Oreochromis niloticus: one gene and its partners. The protein of the gene in region 3 purifies or fractionates together with the protein of the main gene of each other region. This does not show direct contact. Links are inferred from orthologs where the notes say so. Each region holds a gene or a part of one and is shown on either strand. Other genes may lie near its edges.

Region 1 (7,613 bases), on a different chromosome or scaffold from region 3:
TCTTTTTCTGCTTTCTGTGGTGGATGGGTCACATTAAACATGGTCACCGTTTTATTAAGCCTTTTCAGTGTTTGGCTCCAACATCACAAGCGTGGAGATCAGACTTACCGAGGTCAGCTCGGAGGAGGCAACCCAGATGACATCCACCAGCAGGAGTATCACCACCCCCAGAGCCATCCGTCTCCGCTGGGCTGCAGAGCTACCCTGAGAGCTCATCCGGTTCATGATGAACACCCACTCCATCGGGACGGTGAGAGGGGAAATTCAGAAACTGCCTCGCTGATGACGACATCAGAAGACAGGCAGTGAGCTCCGAGGTTGACCAACTATATACTTCCCAACTATTTACCTTAGTTTTTTTTCGGCTTCAAAGCTGATGAACCTGTTCTAAACCCGTTTTAAAAGCTGCTATTCAACATTTTAATCACTAAAAACATCTAAAAAGTTATGAAACCACACCAAGAAATACTTCACTCTATCAACCAAAACCTGAATTTTGAACATGGCTAATCTAGTGTGGAGGTTTTTAATCTGGAAGTGGAAGTTAGACAGACAATGCAAGACATAAATAAACCTTCAGAAAACTTTCGTCCAAACAATAAGTGTGTTAGTGTCTGTAAGTTTGCCTGCAGTCAAATGTTTAAAGGAGTAATGTTATATTTTTACCACTTCAACACCCACCTGGTCGCCGCCAATACGTAAACTGAATTTTAGCCAGTCTCTTTGAAGGTCAGCTCAGATTCTTTGTTTCAGCCAGTTTAAGTTGAGACTCGCAGTTAAACACCTGCAAAAAAAATAAAAAATAAAAAAAAATTAAAAAAAATTAGAAGCCAGGAGAGTTACTCTACTGTGCTGTTTTTTAAAAGTATATCTACACCGAATGACAAATTAAAGGAAAAACAACAAATGTCCATGAGTACACATTTAACTCTATCCCCTATATTTGATGACCTCTGTTCCCTTAATGATGAGTTTGACAAGTGAGTGTATTTAAATAAAGACGAGGTTTGACGACCATCAGAATAGTTTGTGTAGCTGCACAGGCAGAGACCAGCCTCACTAACTTTTGATTCAAACCCAGTTATTTTGTTCTGTAAGCAAGTCTGAAATATGACACAAACCAATCAGTTCAGAAAAGAGCTTTAAGGGTTGCTTCTAGTCAACTTTCAAAGGGTAAAGAGTTAAACGCTGCACAGAGAGCAGACCATGGATCTGTGTGAAGAAAAGGAAAATATAAACCTGAGGCTACAGTCCCACGCACTCTGACACAAATCCTCTTCCTGATGAGGATGTGAGCGTTGCGTTAACCAGCCCAAAGAACACCTCACAGAAAAATGCTGCGGTGGAAATAAAGGCTGCAGATCTGAATGCTCATCGCTGCCTCTGTTAACTCCAGAACACTGAGCTTTGGGTGTTTGTGAGGGGTCTGCAGACACTGAGCTTTAACAATTCACTACTGTCTTTGTGCTAACATGCAGTCATCTTACTTTACAGTAATCATGTCAAAATTAAAATGCTTAACTTTTTTCTAATTTAAAGACTTTGTGAAATATCATTATTCTTAGTTTATATTATTTACTTATTGTTCCATATGTGGGTTACTGAGTGGTGGTGTGGGGAAACAAATCATACGACAGACAAATACCAGCCGACTACCCACTTTTAAAATGAGGGATAACAAATACAAATTAAGAGAAAATTAAATTTTTGAAAAATATGAAATGTTGCGGTGTATCCGTTAAACTTTGGAGTTAAACTGTGGAAGTGTTGTCCAGCAGACTGTAACTTAAATACTTAGAGTTCACCTGCAGCTGTATGTGACATGAAAGCTTTACTTTCATGCTTTACTTTTCAAGCTTTACTTTTCATTACTTCTTTGATTGTTTTTGTTGTTGCTGTGAGTGTGTTTTAGTCTGAGGTTAGAGATGTAGTTGATCTAAGTTTACTTATTTGTTGTCTCTGAAACTCTCTTTTTAACCTACCACGTAACCCGAGGTGCACCTTCTTAGAAACGCAACTACACATCAGGTCAATGCAGTACACAACTACTGTGATCGGCCTGTCCAGAGCCATTGATTACTCTTGTGCATTTCCAGCCACTTAACAATCATTGTCTCAATATAAAGACTAATAATCATAGTATCAATATAAGGACTCGCAAATCTCAGCAAATTCCTGGAGGGAGACTGCTCAATCTACTGGAAGATATCAGGGAATGTTCAAAGAGTTGGAAAAACTTGAAGGACATATATTTAGCCTGAAGAAAAAAAAAAAGAAAAAAAAAAAACCTGTCCACAACAAAGAGCTGGACCCAGAAAAGAAAAAGATCCCAGCATTTTGTTTGTTCCTATCGACCAGCAGGACATGTACAACACCAGGACACGACCACATGGTAATTAACACGTAATCCACTGGTACAAGCACAAATGCCGACAATGACGTTGGCCAATTACACAGGTTACATCATAGGTGCTACAAACACTCCCTGCAGATATCTAACTCAAGCCTTACTAGCAACACTTTTTCTGATCTAACTACTAATTTTGACCTCAGAGTTATTTTCTTTCACATATTCTATTCTTTTTACTGAGCAACTCTACTTTGATTAACCTGAAGTGATCAAATTGAAGGAAACTTGACTTAAGTTTCTGAAGACACTTTAAGTCTCATCTGAGAGGCAACTTAAGTTCAGAGAGCTGAGAGGAAGGCCTGTGTATTTACCCACTAGAGGGGCTGTCACCTTGGAGGACGTTGTTGACCCATCCTGACTTTATGAGACTCATTAGGTCACACTGGACAAGTTGTGAATGAAGAATCTCTTGCTTTAAAGGTAGCTGGTGGACAGGCCACCAACGCTACTTTGTGATGGTCTCCTTTACTGAACAGATAGATTTAAGATTACTGAGAACCTACACAGACTTTGTTTAATATTCTACCTGTTGTTGTCCACCATATGTGAATTTCACCACATATAGGATCAATAAAATCCACCCTGTGTTGAAACGAGGCGAACCATATGTTATAACAGAACTTTTTACTGCCATCGAAACACCAAACGGAGGGATAGATTTCGGTAAAATGGTGCTCGTGGCTCCATTTTCAGATAGTAGGAGACTATTTGTAAATACAATTTGTTCTGCTTGGTTTTAAACTGTCAAAAGGCATGTCCCGAACTTAAAAAACACACTTCAGAAAACTTTTAAACGACTACTAATGAAAGACATGCGTACACCTTCACTTACCCGAGCTTTAAATCCAACTATCTTCCAGCTAGCTACGCGCAGTACATCCAGAGAGCGTTGCAGTAACTCTTTAAGGTACGAACAGGTAAGCTGCTGAAAACACGACCTCCTCAAAGCTAGGCACTCACGGCTTTTAAGCTAGCTAATTTATTACCTGTTAAATTCTGACAGTCTGGAGGTCGACAGGTGTCCCGACGCTTTACTTTATAACTTATCGTGACATCTACTCCAGTTCATTGCCCACAGCTCAGGCTGAAGTCCACTTACTCAGTGTACCGCCGTCGCAGGTGTGCTGCGTTTAGCTGCTTGTTTACCTATTAGCATTCTAAGCGCTAACTGGCTTGATTGAAAAATGAAAAAGAAACAATAGTAAAATAAGATATTTTTACCCGAATGTGAGAGTGCGTCATTTAGTTTGCGCCATTATTTAAGCATCATCCCATACGCTCCGGAAATCCTGACAAAAATCACAGTTTTTAGCGATAAAAGTGTCACCAGCCCAGCGGTTGTAAACATTAGCTCAGCCTCCTGTCAGGTGACATCACTTACAGTGCAAGGCATTCTGGGGTATGAAGTCTTAAGGGGGAAAATGTTTGTTTTTTCATTTATAAACTCATACATTTTCTTGGTGTTTTCACCTTTGAAAATGACTTTTTGGAAATTAAATTGAGCAAATTAATTCAATTTTACCTCAGGCTGTGGAGAACACATCATTTACAAACACAAATAAAGAATAGGAGCTTCAAAGACGTTTTGCTCATTTTCTTTGATTTTATATGGGTCAGTAATGTTTTAGTATTATCTGAAGTCTATTGAGTGATTCCCTTACAGTTTGTAATTTTTATCCATAAAAAGTAATTTGCTTTGTACTTTAATTTCATTATACTTTTGCTTTTATCACAATATTGTTACTAGTTAATATTTTAAAAGCAATATTTTAATTAGTTTTTAGCTGATTTGGACTACAAAGCTCTGGTGGTGCTCCGTAGTCTCTGCTGCTCAGCCACAGGTTACAAACGCGAGAAACCATTTGTGTCATTGCACTATACAAATACAATCATTATACATACTTCTTACTAATTTATACATACAGCTATATTATACTTAATATTGTCTTATTTATATTGAATTACGTTGTAAATATTTTTTTGTTTCTTGTTTGTGTTTCTTGTTTGTGTTCTCATTCTTGTTGGCTTTTAATTCCGATTCATCTCATCTGTGTAAATGTGTCGTAAATGAAAATCCTTGAATCCTTGAATCCTTGAATCTTTGAGTCCTTCAATGCAAATTTTATCTGAACAGCAGGTTTCTGTTGTTGTTGTAGTGGCGCAGATGTCTCCTTTAGTGGCCGCTGTTATTTCTGCTCGTGCTTATTCACAACAGTCGAAGAAGAAGTTTGACGCCGCTTCTTTCGGTCAAACATGGCTGCGTCCATTATGAGCTAGAAGAGTTTTAGTGCTTTAGTTTAAGACGCCTCCTGCGATTATAAGTTCTTGACACTCGGGATATTTAATTGTTGTTGGAAGAACAAATTAAAGACAGGGTTAAACGGTAAGTAGCTTTTGCACATTTGTTTGCATAAAGGAGTTAAAGCAGCTCCCGCCGTTAGCACAAGGCTAACAGGAGCGTCTTATTAAAGGCTAATAAACAGCGTGTAGCACTCTGGTATAATAACACAGATAACATCCTTATTATTCGTGTGTTTACAGATCTTTGGAGCATGTTATCACCAGTGTGAGGGCCAAAACATGGACTTCTCTTCACAGGAGGGGGACTCTGAGGCCCCCGCTGTCATCGATATGACCACCAGCGAGAAGGTCCGTTTTTGTGATCGCTGATAAACATTTTAGGGGAAGATTTATGGGTTTTATGCTTTAAAAACTGGATGAAATCACAATAGTTGGGATTATAAAAATGGCGACCATTTTCAACGGCAATAGACCACTTTTTTGCCAGAAAAGCTTTTTACAAAAACGGCTTTAAAAGTCTTACATTTACCTTGCTGAAACCTGCAGCAACAAGTACATATACAGTAGGTTTGTCCTAGTGTTGAGCAGCCAGATGAGCCACAAATACCAACATATTAAATTAGAAAATCTCTCAGCTGTGCCTTTATTAAATCAACTGTAATGTAATGGGGGTCTGCTTTCTCCTTCCAGGTTGTGGAGCTCCTGAATCAGGCTGCTCTGATACCCACAGATGAGAAGCTGAATGTGCTCAAACAGGTTTGTAGCTTAGACTTTTTAACTCTGTGATACAAAAGACTGAGCACAACCCTAACCACAGGCTGTGGAGAAAGGTGGAGAATCGAAAGATGCTCAGATTGTCACTGGGAGTGACCAGAAAGGACAAGGTTAGAAATGAGTTCGTCAGAGAGAGGGACAGCTCAGGTTAATCAGTTTGGAGACAAATAGAAGCAAGGCTGAAATGATTTGGACATTTGCAGAGGAACAATAGTGGATATACAGGACAAAAGATGTTGAAGATGGAGCTGCCAGGCAGGAGAAAAAATGCCAAATAGCATAAGTAAAATAAAATAAGATAAAATAAATAAAATAAAATAAAACATGTTAAAACAAATTGAGTCAACCCCTTAAAGATTGCCAAAAGCTTCAGCAAATAAATGTGTTTTAAGAAGAGTTTTAAACTCAGAAAGAGAAGAGGCCTGCCCAACGTGCAAGGGCAGATCCTTCCACAACTTTGCAGCCGCTACAGCAAAAGCACAATCACCTCTAAATTTATACTTAGTTTTTGGTACCTTAAGGAGGTGCTGATTGGCGGACCTAAGGGAATGGGCAGGTGTATATGGTTGTAGTAGCTCCAAGAGGTAGGAGGGGCCAGGCCATTAAGATATTTAGAAACAAATAAAAGAACTTTTAAAACGATCCTAAAAGGTACAGGTAAATGTACAGGTAGGATGTTGTAAAGAGATGTGACAGAGTAGGATGCAGGAATAGGATGAGCTGGAGGATCCCTAAAAGGTGCAGCTGAAGGCAGTTTGAGTTATTGTAGATGATGACTTGGACTTGCAGGCTTAAACAAACTTTTTACTGTCAGCATATCTTTTTGGATCTACCATCAAAAAGCTTTTTTTTAACCTACACGAGGCTGCTGGCAGAAAGTCACATGTGTGATATTTTTGCTAAACATATATGATTATAAACTCTAAAGTGGAGCCATTCTGGATTTCCTGATTTTCTGTCCCATACATGTTTTCCAGCAATGGATATTCATATTAAACATGTACAAAATTTCCACTAATGAGGTTGTGTATGTGCAGGTAATCCCTGTGAGCCAGAAGGCTTCAGACGGCTATAAACCAGGAGTGTCAAACTTGTTTTAGAGCCCAGTTTGTTTTTAAGAGTACCAGACCAGTAAAACTATTGTCCTGCAACCTACATGAAAAAAATGTTCCTGTTTATTTCACTGTAAACAAGTTTAACTATACACTACTAAGGTGCCAGAGCATGGTGTTGAAGTCTCACCCATATCTGCAGCTGAGATAGTCTATTTATGAGGGGCAGCCAATCAGAAGAAAACTGACTTAAAGGGGGAGGGGCTAAAACAACTTCAGCTTCAGAGAGAGGAGGAACTTAGGGGCTGCACAATGGATTGAGTATAAGACAAAAAAGGATTATTTTAACTGTGAATTGTGCAAAGCTAGTCTAGCCGAGTCCAATATAGAGTTGGAAATGATCAGAAGATCTCAGTGCAACCGTGTAGACTGGTGTCTAATCCACTTACCCAGGAATGCACAAGAACATTGATTCAGTACATGTATTTAACCTTCAGGTCCAGGAACTCATCATCAACAAGGATCCATCTCTTCTCGACAATTTTTTGGATGTAAGTAAGCAAGTATTCGGCTCTCATAACCAGCTATAGTTTCATTTAAATTTGCCTCATTTTTGTTACTTTTTTTTTTGTCCTGTAGGAGATAATCGCTTTCCAGACAGACAAGTCCATCGAAGTGAAAAAGTTTGTGATCGGCTTCATCGAGGAGGCATGGTGAGTTTTCAGACCTGCTGTTGTTTTGTTTGTTTGTTTTTTAAGTCAGGGTCAGCATTTGAGATTTTTTTACTGTTTTATTATCTGCTTTCAGTAAAAGAGACAACGAGCTCCTCCTCAGACTCATCGCCAACCTGAACATGTTGCTGAAGGATGAAAGTGTGAATGTGGTGAAGAAAGCCATCCTCACCCTCACCCAGCTGTACAAAGTCACACTTCAGGTACAAAGAGTCAGATATACCGGCTTCATTTCTACCTTTTCTTTCTTTATGCGATCCGTTTCTGTTCTTCACTTCGTCTTCACTTCCTTTATCTTTTCTCGTCTCAGTGGTTGGTGCGCTCCAAAGCTGTGTCAGAAATGCA
Region 2 (7,841 bases), on a different chromosome or scaffold from region 3:
GTTTATACTACTGTATTTATGTGCCACAGTCTGGATGTATTGGATTAGTGTTATTTCTATGTTAGGATCCTTGAGTTAATTTTAGGATATTATTGGTATGATTACGTATGTCGAATATTATATATTTATTTGGTGTGTTTGGGTCCTTGTTTATAAGCTGATGATAGCTTTTCGAAAGTGCCATTTCATAACTATTTTATATATTAGCATACTAGTATTTGCATTTTAATTGATTTGTAAATAAGCTGAAACCTACAATACAGAAAGCTCACACGAGTCAGGCTTTCTGTTTCCTTGTTTCTAGTGTTTGTGCTAAGTTAAGCTAACTGCCTGCTGTCTGGAGCTTCATATTTAACAAACACACATGAAACTGAAAGAGATCTTTTCATCTTTTTCCAATAGATGAAAAACCCTAAAATGTCGAACTTTTGCTTGAAACAACAGCAGAGAAAACACAAGTTTTATATTCTGAATTTTCACATTAAAACAGTTTAAAACAAACTCAGATCTTTTATTTTGTAAGGCCTTAGCTTGAATGAAATGTCCGTAATTAAAGAACAGATGGATCTTTGTATTGCAAAACAAAGAAGGAGAAAATGCCACGTTAAGCTGTCATTGCATCATACCGTTGATATAACCATTTGTTTGATCCAAAGAGATGATGTGGATTGAAAATGTGCCAGGGTGCATATCAGGGGAAGCTAATATCAGCGTGTGTAATTACTGATAGCCCAACGATCGCCCTCTGCTTGGATAAACCCGATTAGGATCGACTAGGCTGTAAGCCTCTCTAATCCACCGTAAGGAGAGAGGGATGGATGCAGGGAGGGAGGAAACTCAGAGAGAGACAGGGTGGCACATAGGGTGAAGGGGAGAAAGGGAAATAAGGATAAACAAGGTGCAAGAGGATGAAAAGCAGACAGGAACAAGACAGAGAGAGAGAGGAGAGAGAAGGCAGAGGAATCGTCAGGGAAAAACAGGCGAAGAGAAGCTGCACAGTGTGTCAAAGCAGATCACTGCCCGCAGGAAAAACACAGGCAACAACACAGCAAACTGAACTCCCTCCAAACCGCTTTTATCTCCTTCCACTGTGGTTTTGACCTTTGCCACTGCATCCAAGAGTTCAACCACATTTTATTTTAAATCACGTTCCTGCTCTGTTTGACAAATGTGGTTTTTTTTCCTTTCATTCTCATTATATTCTGCAGATCTCTGTGCATGGTTGTTGTATGCACAGACTGTGGATAAAAGATGAAATGCAAAGTGCCTGAGTGCTGACTCCTCCTCCTCTGGCTGCATAATAAAGTCCAGTTTGTAAGTTTATCGGGTCACAGGGGCAGCTACTTAAGCAGAAAAACACGGAGATCCATGCCCAGTTACCAAAATAAGTTTGTAAGTCTGTAAGAAAAAAAGGCCCAGGTCTTTGATGGCACCTGTAAATGCTGAAGCAGGGTTTACCTTGAGAGTGGCAAGGTGAGAATTAAGTTGGTGGTAAGTGATTAACACTGTCTATCAGCAAGATTACACAAAAACTACTAAGCAAAATTCAATGAACGGATGGACAGGTGGGAATGACAGAGGAACTCTTAGATCTGTGTCGTTTCTCTCAAGAAACAGGACTCTGGCACTGAACCTCGGGGAGGATGTGCTTTTCTACTTTAAATGCTGCTTTGTTGTCTTTTTGTCTCAAAAGATGCTTTGCAAGACTTTATCCAATTACGATCATCTCAGTTAAGTAAATTTGACTTTAAATAGCTCTTGAGTACATGGAAAGGAAAAGAGAAAAGGGAGAAAAGAGCATGAAAAGCAGGTGGGGGTATAAAGAAAACAAAGGGAGGGAATGTGATCAGAAAACACAGAGGAGTAACAGACTGGAAGAGAGACGCGTGAGAGGGAGAGAGAGTGAATGAAATAAATGCAATTTCCATGATCAGTTTAAGTTTGAGACCATTAGTCCCTGTACGTGTGTGTGTGTGTGTTTGTGTGGTGTGTGTGTGAATACACCGTAAACTTGGGGGAGCCGCACAAAAGCTCACACATATGATGTGATACAGTAGATTCCCGTGATATGAACCCCTGTGTGGTTCTCACATACGGTATGGGGGGGAAAAAAATCAATATAATCACAACTATAGTGTTACCATCCCATTTTTCACTCTCCCTGTGAGAGAGAGCACGCACTACATAAAAATTAATTTCATTTCAGCCTCAGATAAACCAGTGAGCGTCAGAACTCAGGCCACGCCTCTGTGTAATTTCCACTGTAAAAACTGAGGGAGAGTGAGAGAATCCACAGATTTCCTTGTCCTTTACTGACAAAGCTAAAGTGGCTCCACTTAACTGGTCAGAGGCCATAAATGCATTAAGAGTTTTCTTTGCATTAGCAGGCAACTTCTTGTGCAAACAACCACAACAGCAATCATGAGAAGTCATTTCGCTGCTGATGAGTCTGCAGCTGCTTCTTGAGGTTATAAACTTATAAAAGCTCTTTGAGAGAGGCAAAGTTTAAGTCTTTATTCCTTTTCTAAGGCAGGAGCTGATGCGGAGGTATGTCTCTAGTGGCATTCGTTTGTTTGTCGGCAAGATTACACGAAAACCATCGAGCTGAACTTCATGAAACCTGGTGGAGAAGTGGATAGCGACCAGAGAAATACCTCAATAAATTTTGTTGTGAATCTGGATTACTTTTCTTAAAATTACAATATAGTACATTGGCTTTGGTGAAGAGCTCTTTTGTTTTCACAACCTCTGGCTTACACATAACATTGTTTAACATCATTTATTTATTGCTTATAATTTGCATTAGTAACAACTTACTTGCTATAACCCAAAAAAATAAAGAATACAGATAAAATAGTCAAAAACTAGGAAATAACAACCTTAAAATTGTGCTTTATTGAAGTAGCCTGCATAAGGAAATGTACTTAGTTGCTTCTACTGCTTTTCCAGAGATGGCTTAGCTGTAAAACTTGCATTGTCCTTGGAAAACCTGCAATTCTGCCCTCACAACTTCTTTGTGTTTTGGTTTTTTATGATTACCTTGTCCAGTGAAGTTTCATTTCTATCAAAGCCAACTAGAGGCAGGGAAATGCTTACTGTCCAGAATAGACAGATTATGAGAACCATCAAAACATTTCGAAGGACTAAATAGTTCAGCTGAAAACACATTAGACTATCTTAAGTGTGGCATCCCATGATATACTAAAAACAAAAGTAGATTTATTTATGTCAATTTACCAGGCGGAAATGCAAACAAATAGAAGGCTGAAGCGTCTACATGGCCTTTTACATGAGGTACAGTGTGTGCCCCAGGCCACTGGCTGTACTGCCTTCAGACTCAGACACAACTTTCTTAAACAGATCAGGCACTTTGATCATTTACAGCATAAGTGCAGGGGGAGCTAATTTAATGAACGATGAAAGCACCATGGTAAGACGTGACACTGAGCCTTCGTGCAGGACAAGGAGCTTGAAACTCACTCAGCTAAATGGAGTACACAGTGTTTTTTTTTAATCATCTGGACATGTGCTTATCCTGCCCTGCTATGCTTCGCATGTGCTGAGGCCCTGAGGGGCATCATTTTTCCCAATGCATGTGGAGATAGGAATATGAGAAAATTTCCTACCAGGGTTTGGCTGTCAGTCTGTTCTTTACATCACTTCCATTTTCCCACGCTGCAAAACTCAGTGCTGACATAATTGCTCTAGTCCAGTCATCTTTCTGCCAATCAGCTTCCACTCTACGTACTTTACATCGCACTGGCCATCTTTCATTCTTCCTTGCAGATTCCTTCATGCAACCCACCTCCTCCCCAACTCCACCTCATGCAAACCACTCATCCAAGCCTCCATCTTATCTTCACCACCACGAGAGTCTAGACTCCAGAGCGAAAAACTTGACATACGGATATGGATAATGGATATGTGCAGGGTATCCATTAAAACCATTTGAGGAAACTGGAATAGAACAGTAAAAAAATAATAAGTGGAAGGCCTAAAAAACTCTCTACAGCAGATAAACAGTATCTGAATGCCATGTCCTTAAGAAATAGAAGAAAATCCCACAAAGACCTGACCCAGGAGCTGAGGGTTGCATCTGGCCTCTTCAGAAATGTTCTCAGTGGAAGGGCGGATAGCAAGAAGCCTTTCTTAGTGAAGGAAGGGAAGAGAAACAGGGACAAAAGGCCAAGGTATGCCAGATTACATGAGGGCTGGTCTGAAAATGAGTGCCAACAGATCTTGGAGTGATGAATCCAGATTTGAAAATTTTGATTCGAATTGTCACTATGTACAGAGGAGGTCAGGAGAGAGGTACAACAGTGAGTCTCTAGGGCCAACCATAAAACATGATGGAGGCTCTGTCTGTCTGACTGGCATCGGCTTCATTTCTCATAATAACGATGATCCCAAGTACAGTGCCAATGCACTAACAGTATACCTGGATTCAAAAACACAGAAGGATCACCATCAGTCATGGATTGGCCTCCCCAGAACCCAAACCTCAACATCATTAAAGCAGTGTGGGATCATCTTCACAGATAACAGAACAAAAAGGCAGCAGAAGAGCTTTAAATGCCCTTCAGGTTGTACTGAGTAATAAAGTTTGTAGCAAAGTTTCACTTTCTCCTAGAAGAAAAGCAGAGCTGGAAAAGAGAGTGAAGAAGCACTTTCGGGCATGTATTTGGGTGGTTACTTTGAAAAAACAATCTAACTAATTGTCACAGCACAAAATAACGTTTTATTTAATTCTTTCACTGTCGTGTTAAAAAAAAAACGCGACATAAAAAAGGAGCCGTTAGTTTGCCCGCTGGGGGCGCTGTGTTTTCTCCCATCACCCTTGACATTAGCGGGATGCCACCAATCTCTTCCGGGTTCACTCCGACTCGCAAAGGTTGGAAATGAACCTATGAAGACATAATTTATGTACATAACCACGTTTCCACGATAAAGGGAGAAGTTTTACTGTTATTTTTGCACCTGTGAGCTTTATTGAAGCTTGTAGTTGTTGAAGCCGCTGCTGGTTTAGCTCTCCGTGTAAGTTTAACATGTCTGCGGAGGAAGCGGACAAAACAGCCACCACTGATGCCAGCGCCGGAGACGAGGAGGAGGAATGGCTGTATGGAGGTAAAAACAACCACCTGACGTCCACAGAAACGGTTCCTTCGAACAGACAGAGACGTGGAACACGATGTCTCTCGCTATGTTCCTAATTAACTGCTAACAACAGATATCACTGTGCGCTATCCCGTTAATCACGAGCGTTAGCCTGGAAGCTAAGCTAGCAGCGGGATTTTGGTCGGCCTGTTGTGGCTGCACCGCTCGAGTCAAATCATTTGAGTATTACTCTGGCTTGTTATAACGTTTAACTGGACTATGAAGTGGCGTATGTATTTTCTGCAGCTCACCTTGTTAGTTAAAAAAAACAACAACTTCAGTTAAATATATATTAGATAACGATAAATGAACTCAGTTGCTTTTAATTTCTGTTCCAGATGAGTCAGAGAGCAAAGACGAGGATGAAGAAGCCAAGCTGAACGCTGCTGTCAGGTAACTATAATTCAGTCCTAGCCTGGATTTAAAAAAACAAAAAACCCTCTGTGTGTACCACATTTCAGGGTCAACGAGCGTTGGCAGAGTAACTAGCAAAGGTAATATAGTTCAGTACAGCTATCAGAAAATCTTCTCACGAACTCTAGAAGTATTTCAATTTCTAATAATTTTTAGATTTATTGAGGTGGATTTCAGCTGATGCTGTATCCCTGGGAACGGATAAAAGGCACTATTAATACACACGCAGAGGTCACTTTATTAGCTGCACCTTGCAAGTAACTGGGTTGGGCCGCCTTTTGCTGTCAGAACTGCTTTAATCCTTTGTGGCATAGATTCAGCAAAGTGATGGATGCATTCATCTGAGATTTTGGTCCATGTTGACGTCATGACATCACACAGTTGCTACTGATGAATCGCTGTACATCCATGAGAATCTGATGAGATATAGGTAGGCTGTATCCTACCTGAGAACCTACCAATATTCAGGTAGGATATGGTGTTTAAATAATGCTCAGTTGGTGTTATGGGAGCCAAACTGAAAATATCTCCCACTCCATTACATCACTAACAACGCTAAGCGGCAGCTACAAGGCAGGATTTGTCAATGCTGTCATGATATTCGTGCGTACCATCTGAATGTTGCAGCAGAAATCAATTCTTTGGTTGGTTATTTGGTTATATGATCTACTGCTGCCGTCCTCAGCTTGAATCAACCCGACCATTTACCTTTGACCTTTGGCACTGAGAGAACTGGATAGTTTTTCTTTCCTTATTTTCCCAAGCCCATTCTCTGTAAACCCTAGAAATGGTTGTATGGGAAAATCCCAGTGGATTTCTGAAATCAGCCATGTCATGCTGATCCATCCAAACTAAAATCACATGCGAGATGCATTTACTGCTATGTGATTGACTGATTAGATTGCTTTACATCTAGTATGTTAGAATATTATTGAAAAGAGAAAATTATGAGGATGTTGTTTGTCAGTCGTTAACTGTACACCTCATCTCTTCATTTATACTCATCCACATGTGCTGCAGATGCTGATGACACTATTGCTGCTGTCATAGATTCATTGATCCTACGGGGGAAACTCTGTTACAGCAGCAGCACAAAGAATAAAATTAGTGTAATATAATCTAATCTTGTTTAGTAAAGGTACCTCTGGCTCATAGTGAATGCTTTATAATGACACCGTTATTAAATTATCCCCAGCCTTAGACAGATTCATCTAACATATCTGTGACAGACCAAAAATAATTTTGGCTTACTAATATATCATCACCTGGGCTCCACCTAACATACAGACATCTTACAGTTACATTATGTGCTTAAATTTGAATAACAAAAGTGGTTAAACATATTTAAAAAAAAAACCAAAACAAAAAAAGTCAGCAGGTCACATGAGTACGTGTAAATATCTAGTTTAATTAAAAGTTACTAAAGGAGACTTAAAAACAAACTAATAGTCTTTTGAAACATAATTTTCTCCTAGTGTTTTACATACAGATAGATTAAAGGAAAAATGTAACACCTTGACCTCTACAGTGAGGTCATGCTGTGGCAGCTTTATGTTTTAAGTGACATTTTGGTGGCATGTTTTGTTTTTTTAATACTTGTTCTCTTTAAGATAAGGGTCACTGCAAGTAAATATAGTGTTTCTAAAAGATCCCCTTTATCCTTTGATTAAATTTTCCTTCCTTATTAGAATGGCCTCTGTTAGGATGTCAGTGCTCTGATGACTGAATAGTTTAAAGAGTATGAAAATGATGTAAATCAGATGTTGTGGCCTTCACAGTCACCAGATCTCCACCAAGGTGAAAAAACTTTGTGAGATTTTGGACCCAGAAACTTTGGACTGAGAAGAAATTTTATATTTGGTCTGTTGTGTCTAATGTTTTCATATCTGTAGTGCCCCTGCTGATGCTTCAACAGATGATGCTGCTGCGCACGCTACAGGAAATGGAGTTGCCTCTGAGGTGTGTAGCTTACATGCACAGTTTCAATAATTTTTGTTTGTTTTTATTACGAACCTAGATTCAACTCACTGAATGTTTCTTGTGTTGTTTTTGTTTCTGGATTTTCAGGCCACAGGTGAGGCTGCAGGCGAGGATGTGGAGAGCGACAGCGACAGTGACGATGACGACGATGATGTCCGTGTCACGATTGGAGACATAAAAACCGGAGCGCCACAGTACACGTACGTTTGAGGCAAATTGTGGTGCTGTACATATTTTTATAGTTTGTGGCTGGTTTAAATAAAAGCTGCTGGGTGAGGTTTCTGATTCGGAGA
Region 3 (7,910 bases):
ATACAAAACTACTTAAGCATCCAAATCAGTGTTGATTGAACCCAGTGAAGCCTGAACCATAAAATAATTGCCAGAAAATTCTCATTTTTGTGAAACTGGGGTGTTTATTGAACCTTCAGACGAATTAAAACAATAATAAAGTCAATTTGCATATGTGGGTTTTAATTTGTTTAATTTTTGCTATATCTGGTATTTTTATATATATATTTTTTTTTTTTACTCTTTCGTTTTCTCTTTTTTTCCTTTTCTTTTAGATCAGACGATGAGGTCTTGCCTGTGCTTTCGAGTCGTGAGTAAAAAAAACAACAACAACTAATCCTCTTAGTAGTTTTTAACGGTTGCGTTTTGTTAGCATAATTATTTGATGCCTCTGGGTCTGAACCTCGTGGGATCCTGGGGCAGCAGGGGAATGGGTACTTTGTAAAAAGCACTTGTAATTAAAAGTAAGAGAATGATGGTGGAGTGGGTTTGATGAAGGAGGGCAGAAAAAGAAATATTTCATGTCTTGTGGTGTCACTTACAAATGATAAATTACTGATTTGTGGAAATAAAATAGCCTCTCTTGCTTGAAAAACAGAATTATAAATAAATATAATTAATGCTGGCATAGATTTCTCAGAGGTGTCTGCTTTGTGATTTCTCTTCAGCAAACTTCGACCAGGCAGACATTGGTAAGCCGATCCTAGATGTGGTGGTAGAAGCCGGAGATCTCATCTACTTCCCTCGAGGTTTTATCCATCAAGGCAACTGCCTACCAGACGCACACTCTCTGCACATCACCATCTCCTCTTACCAGAAGAACAGCTGGGGAGATCTGCTGCAAAAGGTAGAAAACCCTCCCTGTTTCCCCCTGTGGTGCATGCAGATGAAGACAACGGCCGAACTCTGAAACGTGTGCCAGTAGTTAGCAGAAGGGTATAAATCTTGCATCCAGCATGAAGTGGTTTTGCATTGCAGGTGAAGAATAATAACCAAAGCAGTCTTTCCTGCTGACAGATGATACTAATGATCTCTGGTGGAGAGTATTTTGCTGATGGTTCATACATCACCTTTCTTTCTTAACCTAAGGATTGCCTAAGACAGTTAAACTTACAAAAGGGTATTCAGAATTTACTGCTCTTTTTTTCAGCTGGTCCCAGCAGCATTGGAAGTAGCAATGGAGGAGGACGTGGAGTTCAGACGGGGTTTACCTCTGGACTACCTGACGTACATGGGAGTACAGAATTCCGACAAGGTATTTAATGAAGTGATTTTTACCAACTTTTCAGGTGTTGTCTTCGTTTACTCCCAATTACTAGCTAAAGATAAAACTTATCCTTGTGTAGGAAGACCCGCGCAGGGCAAAGTTCTTCTCTCGAATTGATAATCTGATGAAGAGGCTAACAAATTACGCACCAGTAGATGCTGCTGTTGATCAGAAGGCTAAAGACTTCATTCATGACTGCCTTCCTCCCGCTCTCACTCCAGGTATGTGATGGAGAGAGCTGTAATTGTTGCATTAGTTTCTTTTTTCAGTGAGATGCATAATGTCACGATATTGCTTTTGATTCTAATTCATGCCATCACCCACAGATGAACTGGTCACCAGTGTACAAGGAGCACCTACGAGGTGGGAAGGTGGACAAGTAAAGGATGTGGGTGTACATATCATTACACAGACTCAAATCAGAATTCTACGTGCTCAGTGTGCCCGGTAACACAGATTTTTTTATTGACTACATGTTAAGGCTACCAATTAAAGCAGAAAAGTGTCATTGTCATTTGTCTTGTAAATCTTTACTGCCAGGTTATGCAATGACGGAGATGCCGTTCATCTTTACTACACCACTGACAACTCTAGAGTTTACCACAAAGAGGAGCTCAAGAGTTTTGAAATAAAACCAGAGGTAAACATTGGCAGATGTGTTTGTCAGGTCTCGTAAACTGTGCTAATGACGGGGTTGACTTGTTTTTCCTCTTAGTACACAGATGCTGTCGAGTTTCTGATCCATTCATATCCCGGCTTTGTGACAGTAGGAAGCCTCCCATGTGAATCTGCGCAGGACAGGGTAATTATTACCTTCACACACTCTGTGTAGTTTTATGTTGTTGGAAGGTGTCTCATATGGGGCAGCTTATCTTCAGTGTTTTAGATGGGTACCTGTATAAACAAGGTTTCTGCACAGTGAAATCACTTATTTGGTTATGTGTTTGTCATTAGTGGTTGATCCTCATGTTTTTCCCCTTACTTTTTCCCCAGATTGCTTTGGCTGAACTACTTTTTGAGAAGGGGATTATCCACACTGCAGAACCAGTGTAGCACTAGATTCTTCCACCATGGTGACTGCATGAAGAGATCAAATCACTTTATACAAAATAAGATCTTCAGTGGAGAACATGTCTGCTCCAAGTAGCCTTCATTAGCTCAACTGGAAATGGATAATGCATTTGTGATTTTGCTGTTCAACTAAAAATAAAAAAAAATTTATATATAATTTTTGGTCTTGTACAACCAGAATCATTAACAAGTACCAAATGATTTTAATTAATGGCATCTTTATTATTGGTTGATACAACTCAAAAACAGAGGTACAGGAGTCTTCTTAAATATTGTGATTTGAGGACACCCATTCGTTCACACCACACGACACAGGCTTTCAAGTAGAGAGCAGTCTACCTCCAGGTCACCTCCTCTCCAGGCTTCAGTTCCCTATAAAAAGAAGAAAAATTTGAAGTTTTGTAAGATGTTTGGCTTTCACAGCGCAGAATGATGTATGAGCACAGTTTTACACCAGAAGATCACTACTGGAGTTATTGGCTGAAAGTGGAAAAGTGTATTACTACATTAGAAACAAAAAGTGTTATATGGAAATCTATTAAAGTGGATTTGCATAGATATAGAAGGCAGTTGCTTATTAATTGAGCCTGCATATCTGTAAGGGGTCTTTATTGCATTCAGCATTGCATCATATTTTGGCCTAAATACACCAAAATAGACAAGATAAAACACAAACACAGGATGTATTAAACTAATTGTCATTATTCTGCGTCATCTTATGTGTTTCAAATATTTACAGGTGGATTTTTTATGAAATTGCAGATTTCATGTATTTATAACTTTGCCAAATTGAAAATATCCATGCACTGAACTAATAACTCCAGACCATGGGCTATTGTGTACACAGTGACAAACATCACCATGAATTCAACATAGTAGTTAGTCTTTAAATTCAAGAATAACCTGAGGGATTTGTTTTGTTTTTATTTGGTGAACAGTCACTTGTTCTTACCTTCCGTACAAAGCACTCTTGTTTCTGAAAGCTGTCAACTTCTGGTCCTGTTGCTTGTCAAGGTACCATCCAATGACAAAGCCCGTGGGGACAAATATGTGTGCCCAGTACTGGCGGGCAAAGGCTGCCAAGTTCACCATGGTTCCTACCTAAAAAAAGGAAAAACAGCATGGGTTTTATACTCCCAAATTAAACTTATGATTGCAGTTGGACATTCATATTTGTATAATAAGAAAAATGGATGCAGGAAAGCACAAGCATAAATGATACAAGAACATTTACCACTATTGCTGAAAAGTCTGATCTCTGTTTAAGCTATCTGAAAGGCTAAATACTAATATAGCAATATCTTATTGCTTTCTTTTAAGATACACCATTGATACACTGGCATCACAGATTCCACTGTTAAATAAACAAATCAGTTATTAATTCATGATTTTAAATGAGGTTCTCAAATGAATAAGGGTAAAAGTTAACTAAAATAAAATTAGGGGAAATACTGTTAAAAGTGTAGGAAATCAGATCACTTATTACTGAAGTGACTTATTAAAAGTAATAATGAATGCAACAACACCTTTCATCTTTTAATTCCACTTTTTTCCATTTAGTTACACAGATTTAGATTTTGCATTTACTCGGGTTATCTTTGTCTAATGTTAAAATTTGTTTGATCTGAAACAAATACTCAAAAAAGGAAAGGGAGAATGCTTTTTCATAACACTATATCTGTATCGTGCCACCATCATTATTTTGATCATGCTGCGAGTCCCAACCATTGAAAGAGACGTTGTAATCTTTAGCAACATGTAGTATTCCGGGGGTAGCCCATGTTCACAGATTTAGAGGACCTGCAAAAAACTTCTAGAAAACGAAATCAGCTAATGTTCTCGACTAAAAATGACAGACATTTGTTTGCACAATTAGCACAACAACTGTCTTTAAACGCCTACTTTAGATTATAAGAATGTGTACACCTTAACAATGTGTTACAACATTTCTTTATGCACTTCAATGAGGTTTGACAGGCAAAGCTTAAATGCACATCAAGCTATGTCAAAGAACAGACCACGGTCACTTCAGTTATTATATGGTGGCCATGCATTACATTACAGCTATATATATGAAGCTGAATACTAAATATCCAGTAAGTCTGCAGATCGTTCATCACAAACTTTTGGTATCCTAGAGAGAGGCACTTGGCTAGCTAGCCTGTCAGCTAGTTAGCCTTAGCAATATGTTTCAAGGTGTAGTTAAGGATTATTTCTAAACTGCACTAGTTACTGTATTTTTAGTACGATAAACACATTAAAATTCACTGACTCGACCAAAAAAGAATAATGAATATAATATATAATATTAATATCTAAAATAATACCTTCTGTTTACACCAGCCGCGGCCTTCAGCTCCTCATTCACCAAGCGAAGGACATCGGATTCTACCAACTGTAAACTTACGATGTGGTGGTTTCATATTTTTAAATAATTAATTTTAATGTCAAAGCACAAGTAGTGGAATATTAGATACGTTCCAACACTGAACATATGATGTTAAAGGTGATGTGTTCAGATACCTTTCGAAAAAAAAATCTAAATGTAGTGTTTTAACATAGAATTATTTAGTACCGACACCACCATATGTGGTATGCTCCTTTGCCCTTTCACACATGATGCAGCGGCAAATATGTCTGCCGCTATCAAAAACGCGAGCCAAAATGGTTTAATTTGGGAATAACAGAAAAAAAGATTGTTGTTTGTTTTTTATTCCAGAAGACTAATCCATTATTTTACAATTAATGGTATGGTGCACGCTCCTTTGTTAGTTCATTTACACTCATTAGCTAGCACTGTAAATACACTTTGCTGGGCAATCTGCTAACAACTCTGAGCTAGCTGTGGCTAGCAACAAAACTGTGTTTACATTTTATTTACTTACAGCCTGTAAGCTGCATACATCACAGGTTAAACTTGTGCAACATTACGCTGTTAGCCTCACACACAGTTTAATGGCAAACTCCAACCATGGTTGTGTTTGTTTTCTTTGTTGATTAAATTGAATGACTTTTCTCAGAGTCGCACTCACACACATAAAGAGCCACGCGCCTTAGATTAAGTGGGAAAGGTTTCGTGGTGAGTATAACATGCAAGCACAATTCTTATATTTCAGCGCGACAACTGAAGAACCATGACGTCCATTATCAAGCTAACAGCCGTGTCAGGGGTTCAGGAGGAGACTGCCCTTTGTTACCTGCTGCAGGTGGATGAATTCCGCTTCCTCTTGGACTGCGGCTGGGATGAGAACTTCTCCATGGAAATCATAGATGTTATGAAGAGGTCGGTATACCGCCAGTCTTTCAAAAAGAGTTGATGTTTCTAATTTAAAAAACTCTTAGCAAAAAGTAAATGTGCCTTTATGAACTCACTAAACACAGTACACCCACAGCAGTCTGGTTTATTGATGACTGACCTCCCCACCCCGAAGTAGGGGAAAGAAAGCTTGTGCCGACCTTTTATTGCCATAAAAGAAAGTTTATAATACTACTACTACTACTGGCCGTCATTAGACGATGGGTGTAGGTTTTGTAGTCTTGTAGTCTGAGGGTCATCTCCCAAGAATTTCTTAACATCAGACCCCCAACTTACCTCACTTATGTTAAATTTGTACTTTTTCTGTCTCATCTTGTAGTAGAAGAATATCAGGCGCAAGGAGATGGTTCAACATATATGGAGAGATTTCCAAACTTAGTCCTTTGCTTCTTTATGCTTTCATTAGCATGGACAAATGTATGTCTTCTAATTCTATTGCTGTTTCCTATACATATATACAACATGAATTATCCTAATTCATACTCTAATGGCAATTTTGTAGATGTTAAGATTTTCACTGGGAGAAAGAATTAGATCAGAAGGAAAGTTCAGGTTGAGCGGTTTGGAGACCAAATTTAAAGAAGTATGGCTGAGATGATGTTGTTGTGAATATGTTGGACAAAGAATGTTAAATATGGAGTAGCCAAGCAGGAGAATAAGACCACTGAGACGAGTTACGGATGTAGTGAAAGAGGGCTTGTGTGACAGAGGAGGATGCTAGAGATAGGGTGAGATGGAAGCAGATGATGTACGATGAGGACAGTGGAAAGAAGAAGAGTGGGAATTATTAATGATGCAGTTTGGTTTTTATTATGCTTTCCACCTAGAGCTTTTTATTCACATAATAGTTGTGTTCTTCATCTCTGCCTGTGAATGTGAATCATTCTTAGCTATGTAGTGCAAGAGTGCAGAATTAAAGGATGTCTGTCGTCTTCTAACTATGCCATTATTGCACATTCACCTTCATGTCTGTCCTTGCCTTTGGTAGTCTTCTCTCTCTCGCCCTCTCAACATATATATAAAACCCTGTCTATTATAGTACTTTATCACCAATGAGAAATTTCATACTCATCGTTTCTAACTGTATCAGTTGGATGAACATCTATAGAGTCGAGAATAAAAGGGACAGCTCTACTTTTGAGGCTTCCAAACTACCTAAAATCTCTTCTTTTCTCACATCTAATAACTACAGCTACAGAGATTTCAGAGACAGTGGTTGAATTGTAACTTCCAGGGAAAAAAATGTTTTTTAAATTCTTATTTTAGTGCAAAGTCAGGAAACCTCCAAAGTGATTTTTACACAATTTGAATAGCTATCTTAACACCAAGAGTATCAGAAGTAACCCTTGAAGCTCTTTTCTTGCTTATAGAGCAAGATGACTGGGTTTGTATCAGAAATTGGTGAGGGTGGTCTCTGCCTATTCAGTTACCCTTGGAAAAACCCCAAAAACTATGTCAATGGTTGTCACGTCTTTATTGATATGTAATGAGGTGTCAAAACTCATCATTAAGGGTACAGGGCAGTTCATGAAATGTCATCTTTGTTGAGGGGGAAAACATTAAACACAACTTTAAATATTTCCCATGTGCACATGTTAGTTGGCTTTGTTTCTGGAACTGTGCACCTTCTAATCTTGAATGAATCGCAAACTGTCCTCAAAGTAGAGGCCACTAGAAGCCTATATTACCCTTGTAAAATGTAAAGCTTTATTATCTGTCTGGACTCCTTGTGAATGCGTATTGTTCTCCTTTAAAGAACAAATTTTGATCTTGTGAGACGAGACTGTGCGATTGAATAAAGATTTGAATTAAACTACTCCACTTTTCTGGGACTTGAACCTGCTGCAATGCTCTTTTTTCCCCTCTCCAGACATGTTCATCAGGTCGACGCTGTGCTGCTCTCCCATCCCGACCCCATACACTTGGGAGCCCTGCCATACGCTGTGGGCAAACTGGGGCTGAACTGTACTATCTATGCCACGATTCCTGTCTACAAGATGGGGCAGATGTTCATGTACGATCTGTATCAGGTAAGAAGGGGATGTGGGTAATGCATGATTTAATTAACAGAGGGTCTTTTTGGCTTGATTACCATTGCTGTATTAAATTCTCTCTTTCTTTCCATGTAGTCCCGAAACAACAGTGAAGATTTTACACTGTTCACTCTTGATGATGTGGATGCTGCTTTTGATAAGATCCAGCAGCTGAAGTACTCTCAGATTGTCAATTTGAAAGGTGTGTTTTATTTGCAGAACATCAGAGGTCAGGTGTTATTCC

Evidence for each region.
Region 1: the proteins of cpsf2 (region 3) and sympk purify together in Homo sapiens (co-immunoprecipitation; 8 studies listed by BioGRID and IntAct, with this or other methods). This does not show direct contact. The link is inferred for Oreochromis niloticus from reciprocal best matches to the Homo sapiens genes CPSF2 and SYMPK.
Region 2: the proteins of cpsf2 (region 3) and fip1l1b purify together in Homo sapiens (affinity purification with mass spectrometry; 7 studies listed by BioGRID and IntAct, with this or other methods). This does not show direct contact. The link is inferred for Oreochromis niloticus from reciprocal best matches to the Homo sapiens genes CPSF2 and FIP1L1.

What each region holds. Positions count from the first base shown.
Region 1 is NC_031987.2:7,110,880-7,118,492, reverse strand, and holds the start of sympk (symplekin), read left to right. Parts: upstream 1-4,608; 5' UTR 4,609-4,793; intron 4,794-4,951; 5' UTR 4,952-4,990; coding exon 4,991-5,059; intron 5,060-5,401; coding exon 5,402-5,467; intron 5,468-7,034; coding exon 7,035-7,088; intron 7,089-7,176; coding exon 7,177-7,250; intron 7,251-7,344; coding exon 7,345-7,471; intron 7,472-7,578; coding exon 7,579-7,613. Other genes in the region: solute carrier family 35 member F5, read right to left, coding at 109-243. UniProt on the Homo sapiens protein: Scaffold protein that functions as a component of a multimolecular complex involved in histone mRNA 3'-end processing. Specific component of the tight junction (TJ) plaque, but might not be an exclusively junctional component. May have a house-keeping rule.
Region 2 is NC_031971.2:23,839,259-23,847,099, forward strand, and holds the start of fip1l1b (pre-mRNA 3'-end-processing factor FIP1), read left to right. Parts: upstream 1-4,836; 5' UTR 4,837-5,045; coding exon 5,046-5,124; intron 5,125-5,492; coding exon 5,493-5,547; intron 5,548-7,460; coding exon 7,461-7,527; intron 7,528-7,635; coding exon 7,636-7,748; intron 7,749-7,841.
Region 3 is NC_031980.2:14,772,223-14,780,132, reverse strand, and holds the start of cpsf2 (cleavage and polyadenylation specificity factor subunit 2), read left to right. Parts: upstream 1-4,905; 5' UTR 4,906-5,065; intron 5,066-5,433; 5' UTR 5,434-5,451; coding exon 5,452-5,600; intron 5,601-7,503; coding exon 7,504-7,663; intron 7,664-7,762; coding exon 7,763-7,868; intron 7,869-7,910. Other genes in the region: riox1 (ribosomal oxygenase 1), read left to right, coding at 255-289, 648-826, 1,130-1,234, 1,326-1,467, 1,573-1,693, 1,787-1,886, 1,962-2,048, 2,240-2,299. UniProt on the Homo sapiens protein: Component of the cleavage and polyadenylation specificity factor (CPSF) complex that play a key role in pre-mRNA 3'-end formation, recognizing the AAUAAA signal sequence and interacting with poly(A) polymerase and other factors to bring about cleavage and poly(A) addition.